Linked DNA regions of Arabidopsis thaliana. The protein of the gene in region 2 interacts with the protein of the main gene of each other region in a biochemical or structural test. Each region holds a gene or a part of one and is shown on either strand. Other genes may lie near its edges.

The links. The genes of interacting proteins can lie anywhere in the genome.
Region 1: the proteins of ARF1 (region 2) and AGD7 form a complex in vitro, tested with the Arabidopsis thaliana proteins (one study listed by BioGRID).

The regions. Positions count from the first base shown.
Region 1 is NC_003071.7:15,754,573-15,759,482, forward strand, and holds AGD7 (ARF-GAP domain 7), read right to left. Parts: upstream 3,030-4,910; 5' UTR 2,885-3,029; coding exon 2,099-2,884; intron 1,991-2,098; coding exon 1,913-1,990; intron 1,479-1,912; coding exon 972-1,478; 3' UTR 970-971; intron 889-969; 3' UTR 506-888; downstream 1-505. UniProt on the Arabidopsis thaliana protein: GTPase-activating protein (GAP) for ADP ribosylation factor (ARF). Involved in protein trafficking by controlling ARF1 activity; may participate in COPI vesicle formation at the Golgi complex.
Region 2 is NC_003070.9:8,334,721-8,339,333, reverse strand, and holds ARF1 (ADP-ribosylation factor 1), read right to left. Parts: upstream 2,742-4,613; 5' UTR 2,529-2,741; intron 2,117-2,528; 5' UTR 2,103-2,116; coding exon 1,955-2,102; intron 1,826-1,954; coding exon 1,755-1,825; intron 1,602-1,754; coding exon 1,482-1,601; intron 1,395-1,481; coding exon 1,276-1,394; intron 1,143-1,275; coding exon 1,061-1,142; intron 967-1,060; coding exon 961-966; 3' UTR 507-960; downstream 1-506. Other genes in the region: CSLA03 (cellulose synthase-like A3), read right to left, coding at 3,104-3,266, 3,352-3,546, 3,633-3,946, 4,031-4,278, 4,362-4,613. UniProt on the Arabidopsis thaliana protein: GTP-binding protein involved in protein trafficking; may modulate vesicle budding and uncoating within the Golgi apparatus.

The DNA.
Region 1 (4,910 bases), on a different chromosome or scaffold from region 2:
TGAACTGGTCCGGTTTGAACGATAGAACATAAAACGTGACAGAGACATGCTCTCTCTGTCATCCTTCATTGACCAACTTCTCTTCGTTATAATTAAAATTTTAAAATACAAACATGAAATGAGACGTGAAATGAAATTATGACATGCATTCATTAACCAATTTGCATCGTATACGTTAAGCAAGCTTAGCCTTCCTTAAGTTTCAAACTTTCAACATTCCAAAGAGACATTGCTTGGTATATCGAGATTTAGTTAGTGTGAAGTCATAGTATTTCTTCCATAATGTTTCATCTCCGCTTAACACCGCCATTTTCGGACATAACACCTCTATTTATCTACTTCTTTTCCTCAAGGTACTGAAGAAATTTATGTATGAAATAAGCTGAGAAAAACGTTATAACCCATTTTCTTTTTGACGTACTGAAAATTCATTCTGAATATGTAAATCCGTAATCCGATCAGATCCCGGTAAACTAGAAATTCAGTGAAGTAAGAAACGATAGCAACCCGACCAAAAGTAGTATGCGAATGAGAAAGAAGACAATAAAACGGAAAATTTGTCTTTTGTGATCATTACAAATTTCAAGAAAAATAAAAGTTTGAATCTCAAAAAAAGAGCTGAAGACTAACCCGAATAGTTTAGCAAGCAATCCTCTGTGACTGTGAAACTTGTACAAATAAAAAAAAAAACTATATATATTGTAGAAGAACAAATAGTGACGATCGATTTGATTGAACGCCAAGCAATTGATATGTGAAAAGAAAGACCAGTGGTGGCTTAATGGTTGAGATGACCACTCTGCTCTCTCTTGTGACAGAGCACGAGAAGACCACAGGCTCTGCTATTCCTTAATTGTACAAACTTCATTCACCATTATCCTGTAACACCTGCGATTTAGGGAATAGTGTTTTGTGGTGATTATATAGACGTTTACATATTCGATTCGTTTAACTTGATTTGGTGCTTACCGTTAGAGAAAACCTCCACCGGTCCAAGCAGTGTCTGATTTCCCATTGTGACCTACAGATTTCTTATCGCTTGCAGGCTGATAATAGAAATCATCATCTTTAGCATCATTATCATCCCAACCAGCCCAACCGCCGTCGTCATCATCATTAGAAGTCGACACCTTTGGTGCTGCTTCCTTTTTGCTATTGTTCTCTTCTCCCCAGTCATCCCAAGAATTCGAGTTACGATAACTGTTGTTGTGACCACTTGATGATGATTGTGATCCTCCAAAAGATGAATTTGCTGTTTTGTTTCCAATCCCAGAGTTCTGGTAGTAACCGTTGCCCTCAGTTTTATTCTGTTGATTCCAAGTTGATGCTTCTTCTTTAGTGAACTCTTCAACCTTTTGTGAGGCAATTGCCATCACTCCTTTCATGATCCCCCATGTCCTCTGTCCTATCTCTGTTGTCTTACTCGCAACAACATTAACAGTCTCACTGACCGTCTGATCTAAGCCACCTTCTTTGACCTGCACAATGAACAAAGGTTTCTTATCTCACTTGTCTTCAAAATTCTATAATTTCTAATGTTAGCAGTATTTGAAAAGAAGGACGAGCATCCGGCATTATGCTCAGTTCAGCGTTTTAGAGGATCTCCCTAGAGATTTTGCAGGGGCATAAAGACAAAAAAAAAAAAAAAGAGCTTTAACACTGCAATTAAAGTAAGAAGATTATGCAGCTAGAAAAGACTCTAATTTTGTGTTACATAACAATGTCAAAAATGGGATAATCTAACAAACAGAGCAATGAGCATAGCGGCAATTAGACAGACACCAAGCGAATAGTCACGATCTCAATATAAACTTAACAACTAGACTACAGAATGTTACCAAGGAGTGAGCTTACTGATCACGATGCAAACGAATCAACCACAACATCGAAGCAGAAATGATAAAAGAAGTACCTTGGAAGTAAACTCCATGGTTCCAGTCTGAACAACATTTGCAGCTGATGCAGCAACAAGAGACAATCTTCCAAAACCCTATAAGCATATACGCGTAAAACAAACACATTCATTTACAGGATAAACAGAGAAGTCACTCGCATGTCGCATCTAACCAAATCACTCTCAAAAAGCTTCCAAATTTACCTCAGACATAACAGAGAAAACATCACCACCACCACTCTGTTGATTGCTTCTCGGAGCTGGACCTGGACTAGATCCAAACCCAACATACTTACCACCTTGTGAAGGAGGAAGTCCCTCAGGCTTAGACTCATTCTCAGCCATCCTTTTCGCAAAGAAACTCTCCTTATTCGCCGCCGACGCCTCCAGCTGAGACCGTGAATATATATCCTCAGACGATTTCGACTTCGCCGGAGCACCACGACCTCCCGATGACCTAAAATCACCCGCCGATTGATTCCTCCTCATATCCGTAGATCTAAACGAATCATCGTTATCCCAATTATCCCATCCACCATTACCAGAATCTCTACCACCGCCTTGAGACAACGGAGGCTTCTTATTCATCAATCCACCACCAACCGATTCCTTAACAATCGGCGGATCTCTCCATTGTCTTCCCTCAGCTAAAGCTTGGATCCGATCTCGATACACAGACGCGGCGTTGGAATTGTACTTGGAGATGATATCAGTCTCTTTCGAGATCCCGTACTGAGCGAGAAAATTGTTGAGACGCTCGTTGCCTCCAGCGTCCATTTTCTTGATCTGGATCTCGGACCATGAATCCATGGTGACGGATCTGACGAATGAGATGTGAACACCTAAACCACGGTGCTTACCGGAGCATTCCAAGCACATGAAGATTCCATATGAAATCGATGCCCATTGTGGATTCTTCTGGGAGCAATCGACACAGACCTTGTTCTCCGGCTGAGATTGGAGCGTCCGTAATCGTCTCGCCGCTGCCATTATATTGCCGGCTCTCCGATCTGACCCCTGACTAGATCTGATCCAGGTTCCAGATTCTGATGCGTTTTTTTTGGCTCAATCGTTTTGCTTAATAAACGTGGTAACTTGAATAATTTTGTGCGTGTTTTTGTCACGTGAGAGCTTCACTCAATATTTCCAAGGTCTCTGCTAAAAACGTGTTTGCTCAAAAAGCATGGGCTTTGGTCGCTTCGATATCGGGCCGGGTCTGGAAGGAACAACCAAAAAAACTAAAACTACTCTCGTTTTCTTCTTCCGCTCAACCCTAACTTGTGGAAGTCAGTTTAAAGTCCAGGTGAGCATTAAGACACCAAATGTCCTTGCTGTGAATATGAACGGGAGAACAACTGATGGGGGTCTGAAGAAGGAATTAACTGAAGTGATGAAGCAGGGACAGATTCTGAGTGTCAAGGTTTGTTTCTTGTTCATTGATTGTTATGCATTGCACTGTTTTAAACCATAAGTCTTTGATGATATTCTTTTATTTTTCACTAATAAGCAGATAAAAAAAGATTGGTACTGGAATTGTCCAACAGGTGAACCTAATGTAGAGTCTTATTAACATAACTAAAGGCCAAAAAGCGGCAGAACACTTCATGAAGCATGGACTTGAGGAATTGTTCAGCTTCACATTATTCCGGTCCACGTGTCTGGTACGGTAGAGTAGCCAAATCCCAGCAAAGTCACAGTTACCAGAATTTACTCTTTCATTCTGAATTGTTGTATCTTTTTCTTTCTTTTCTTTTGAACTCAAATCCTTGTTATCTCCCTGTTGACTATCTTTTTAGAACAATAATGCTCATTAGAAGCTTTTCAACTCTAGTTATATATTATTTTCCAATGCACAAATTATAACATTTGATTCATTCATTCAAACAATTAGAACATTTCATACAAATCCCTAACAACAGCTGAGAAATCTCAACTCCCCCAATTAACAAATCTCAATAGGCCATAGCCGTCACAGTCTTTCTGTCACAGCCATGTGATTTTGTGAACATCACATATAGACCGTTGGATCTGTTGTCATCCGTATCATCACATCGGAACCGTTTAATTTTTATGATTGTGAAACGACGACGTAAAGTTGTTAACCGGGAAAGACGAAGAAAAACGCGCGGGAAAATTGAGAGACTGCATCTTAATCATCGTAGGGATTCTCTATTTTTTGGAATCTGATTCATATGTTTGGGGTTTAATAGTCTCAGCTCAAATAAATCTAGGTTAAACTGTGTGGATCGATTCATATATTCTCCGTCAAAACCAAAACCAAACCGATTTGTCATAATTTTTTCTTATCATCCACTTTCATTGGCTAGAGGGACATTGTAACGGTGTCGTCGTCGCCAAACGATTTGCCTCTTCCTAAAGGTATGTTCTTTCATTTCTCTCAGTGCCCCTTTGCGTATTTCAGCTTCTTCTTTACGATCTAATTCATTTCTATGTTTCGTTTGATTCTTTGTTCAATTCTGAATTGAGAAAATGGCGATTCGAGATCTATCTTTTCGGTTTTTCATGTAAGAATATAATCTAGCTTTGGTGTTTGTATTGGTTTACTTGTGGGAAGAAAAGTCTTTCTCTTTGGGACTTTAAACTTTAATTACTTAACTCCAACATCATCATAGTTGGGTTCTGTTTGCGAGATTCATTCTGTTTAGTTCAGTTCTCTTATAGCAGCAATAACATATTGATTGATGGCATCAATCTTGTGATGGAACCATGGGAATTCAGAGTTCAGGGAGGATTGATTAATTAGAATCTCATATTTATGAGAGAATAAGAGAACTGATGTGTGTTTCTTTTCCTATGTATGTTGTGCACTTTCCTATTTCTATAAGCTCTTCAGGATAACAACAGTTGATTGGGTCTGAATTACCGTGTGTTAAAGTGTGTTTTCGGAATTACCGTAATTCCCCTTCTGTGTAGCTTTTGGCGATTGGGTCTGATCCAATTCTTACCAGCTTCATACCATTGTTCAAAGTGAAAACAGAAATAGTGTTGATTCTCT
Region 2 (4,613 bases):
AAAATTCACCAAAATCATCTCAAAACTTATTAAAACTCCAATCACTCTAAATTCCTTCTTCAATAAACTCAAATCTTCTGTTTCTGTTTCTGTTTCTTTTATTTTCCTTAATTGCTTATCAAATACTGTATTTAATATCGTCCTTGCAACTATCACTCTAGTCAAAATGATGATTAACGTTCCCTTAATGGCTGGCAGAATAAGAAAGTAAATCAGTGACCTTTAAACACATTAATTTTGAACAGTAATCCGCAAAATAGTTCCAACCGTACAATTGTACTATTCATATATACTCTTAGAATCACAATTTATACATTTCATTAACCTACAATTCTACAAAAATATTATAAAGAAAAACAGATAATTTATGTTATTCCATGGTTGTTAAGATAATTATTAGTTTTAGTGTGCTTATTCTAGACAAATTAAGAACGCAATATTCTGACAAAAATGAATGTGGTGTTCAAAAAGTGCGAGAATTTGGAAATATTAAAGGGATTAGAGGATGCCAGCAAAGAATTTTGAATGTTAACTTTTTTTTCAAACAAGTGGATTTATGATTAAATTGTCTACTCATTCCTCTTCTGCCACACTCTAGCATTTCGCCTACTGGTCATGGCTTTCCTCTACTTGATTCATATGACAAATACTAGCAAAATCATCAAGTTTCGTGTAGCAGGTGCCAACGAAACCGCATTCCAACATATGAATCAAAGTGCACAAGTAAAATGTGACCAAAACCACGAAAGCAGTAGGTGAAATCTTCGATTACAGTTTTACCAAAACTATATAAAAGGTAGTTTTTTTCTAAGTTCTACGTACAATCACAAAATCCATCGACATATCCCAAAAAAAAAAGCAGAACAATAACGAAAACGGAAACCAAAAAAAAAATTCAGATAATGTTTGCCCCTGCATCCAGATTTGCTCAGCAAATCAACTCCACCACGAACTTTCCCTCTACGCCTGCACAACCAGTAACAAGAACACAGAAACAAGAATCACGATTTGCTTCAAAATACTGATCCACAAATCAAAATTGTTGTTTGTGATAATTTACCTTGCCGGCAATGTTGTTGGACAACCAGTCAAGACCTTCGTAAAGCCCCTCGCCTGAAGTGGCACATGTGCTCTGGATGTACCTGGAGAGAGTTCGTAGACATAAAATCAATCAGAGAGGTGATAAATCTTTGGAACTATATCATAAGAAACGTTATGTGCAGGAGAACAAATCAACATGAGGGAAGCAGGGGAGATTATAATGTTTTTATTTACCAGTGACGCTGACGGAGAGAGTGGAGACCAAGCTTATCCGTGATCTCAGCTGCATTCATAGCATTTGGGAGATCCTGCTTGTTAGCAAATACGAGCAGAACAGCATCACGCAGCTCGTCCTGTAAAACCCCGACAAACAGTTTACTGAATCATCTAAACATGAAGAATTCAATACAACAGGCAAAGATATAACACTTGATACAGACCTCATTCAACATTCGGTGCAATTCATCTCTAGCCTCAACAACACGGTCTCTGTCATTGCTGTCCACCACAAAGATAAGACCTTGGGTGTTCTGGAAGTAATGCCTCCACAAGGGACGGATCTGACAACAAGAAGTGGAGGTTTTGCGACATGTGAGTTTGTGTAATTCTATGTTCATCAACAATAATACCAAGACACAGTAGGAAAAAGATCCCCAGGTAGTGATGCAAAAAAAAAAGAATTCTTAATGCTTTAGAGTTGGATAATCTTATACCTTATCCTGACCGCCGACATCCCACACTGTGAAACTGATGTTCTTGTACTCCACAGTCTCCACATTGAACCCTGTCCACAGTTTGTAGTAGTTTAATCATCACGGCAGGTGGAAGACAAAATTTTGTATGAATGGTATGAACAAAGTTGATGGAACTAAGCTTTTGAAACACTGAATTATGAAATGATGTTTAAGCTTACCAATAGTGGGAATGGTGGTTACAATCTCTCCGAGCTTGAGCTTGTACAAAATGGTGGTCTTACCAGCAGCATCAAGACCAACCATCAGAATTCTCATCTCCTTCTTGGCAAAAAGCCTGCTAAAAAGCTTGGCGAATGACAATCCCATCCTGCTTCACTTAACTAACACACAGAAACAGAGTATCAATATCACATAAAGAGAGATCACCAGCGAGAACTCCAAATGTTGACTATAAATCATTAGAATAACGCAGATCGAAACAGATGCAACAACGTTTACAAAACCTCATCGTATAGATCTTGCGGAATTCAGAATCTAATTGAAGCAATTACAACGAGAAAAAGGTGAAATCGAAGATAATGTTCATAGATCCAGACTTGAAACGATGCAGCAGCAGATCGAAATCAGAATTTTCAACCAAAAACATCGAAATCCAAAGCATTACCCAAAGATACAACGGATCATCATAAGAAAAATCCTAAATCGAAGCAAGAATATTCAATTCCCAACCTAAGAACACACTGAAACAATCAAAATTGAGAATGCCTTAGCTCAGATCTAGATCAATAATACCTCTGCGTGAAAGTTTCGGAGCTATCTGAGAGAGAGAGAGAGATCGCGAGAGACGAACAGAATTTGAAAGAGAGAGCTTCAAAACAACGCTAAATGCGCGACGCCGTAATTGCAAAAACGGAAGAAGATCTTTATAGAGGCAAAGGATAAAAACGTCAATTCACATAAATTATCACCGGTAATACCTAGAATACCCCTCGACGAATGTTTTCGTGGAGGGGCCTTGTGCTTACGCGGTTTACATGCGTGATGGGTCATTGGCCGTGGATTGCATCTAACCAATCCAAAACCGCCATGTCATTTTCAACATCTTAAATCATTGACGTTGACTTGTTTTTTTTGTATGTTTCTCTCAATTTTCTTTCTAGAACACAATTGGCAAATACAAATTCATAAAATGTTACGTATGAATATGATCGATAACCAAATTTTAAGATCATAACACCATTTAAAAAATTACATTTTGAGTATGAATATTGGAAGAGTTAACTTGGTTTAAGTAACCAAGATCCAATCTCTAATTTGGTCTAATCAAATAGCAAAAACACATTTGCTCTCAAATACAAAAGTCTAATCTAAACAGTTGGAACAAATGTGCCAATATAACCAACTCCAGCAACAAAAAATGCACAAGACTGTAAAAACAGATAAACATAAAAGTATGATCCTCCATATGCGAAATCGTAACATCCGCAGAAGAATATATATAATCCAACAACGAGTTCTCTCCAGTTGAGTCTGCAAAATGTTAACTAAAATTAGTTACAACATTTCAAAATGCTTAAAAATTGTAATTGTGTGTGTGTTTTTAAGTTAAGAGTACCTTTGTCCAAATCTGGTATAAAGCTTAGTTGTAGCTTTACCTATTAACTTAGACTTGAGAGTGTCACCTAATTTTTCAGTAACAACCCATTCGTTAACCCGTCCTGCCTCTAGTAACCCGATGAATGTCGCTTTTGTGCGATGCATCGACATTACATTCTCGAATAAGATCCAAAAGACAAGAAGATGGAGTGATCTGCAGTAGACAATATATGTCAAACTTTTTATCATACTAGGAAATGAGAAAACAGAGTTTTACTTGAACAGTAGAGATGTTGTTACCGAGGTGTAGCGATTGCGTTAAGGATAGTGATTGTAGTAGGAAAATAAACAGTTGCCCATTTAGGAACTTGGAGCTCAGGGAATAGCACAGTTGTTGGTAATATCAGACAGTAGAAGACAAATGTGAAGATGTGTACTACAATCTTCCTTATGAAGAAGAAATTGTATATGAGATACAATTTCTTCCAGGCCGACACTTTCTTGTTCTGTAAGATTTCCATTGTCATCTTCCTCCATAGATTAGCTGGTCCACAAGACCATCTATGTTGCTGAAACCTGTATGCTTTGAATGTACTTGGCAATTCATTTTTCACCTGAAATGTTAGATTACTTAATAATGTCTTGAATGAAATCTTGTTATGTTTTGCTTGAGTTTAAAAGGGTTATAGTAGTAGTACCTCGACGTCATGGACATAGACAAATTTCCAACCATGAAGACAAGCTCTTACTGCTAAATCCATATCTTCTACGGTTGTTCGATCTTTCCATCCTCCAGCTTCGTTTAAAGCTGCGATTCTCCATACACCCGCGGTTCCATTGAATCCAAAGAAAGCATGTATTGAAGATCCAGATTCTTGCTCAGCCACAAAATGGTAGTTTAGTGACATCTCTTGCATTCTTGTCATTAAGCACTCGTTTGCATTCACTACATGTAACACATTCTCTCCATTAGCCAATTTGACTTAACAAAATAATAACTATTATTTTTCAAAAAAGATATGACTTTACCAAACTTCCAACGGCATTGAACAAGAGAGATTTCATGGTTGTGAATAAGAAAAGGAATGGTTCGTTCAAGAAAGTCAGGATCAGGCTGAAAATCAGCATCGAAAATGGCGACGAATTCGCATTGTTTCACATAGTTGTGCATCATTCCTGCCTTTAATGCTCCTGCTTTGTATCCAATTCTGTTGTCTCTAATCTCTGACATTATGTTTATACCTTTCCTCGCCCATTTATCACATTCCGCATTCACCAATT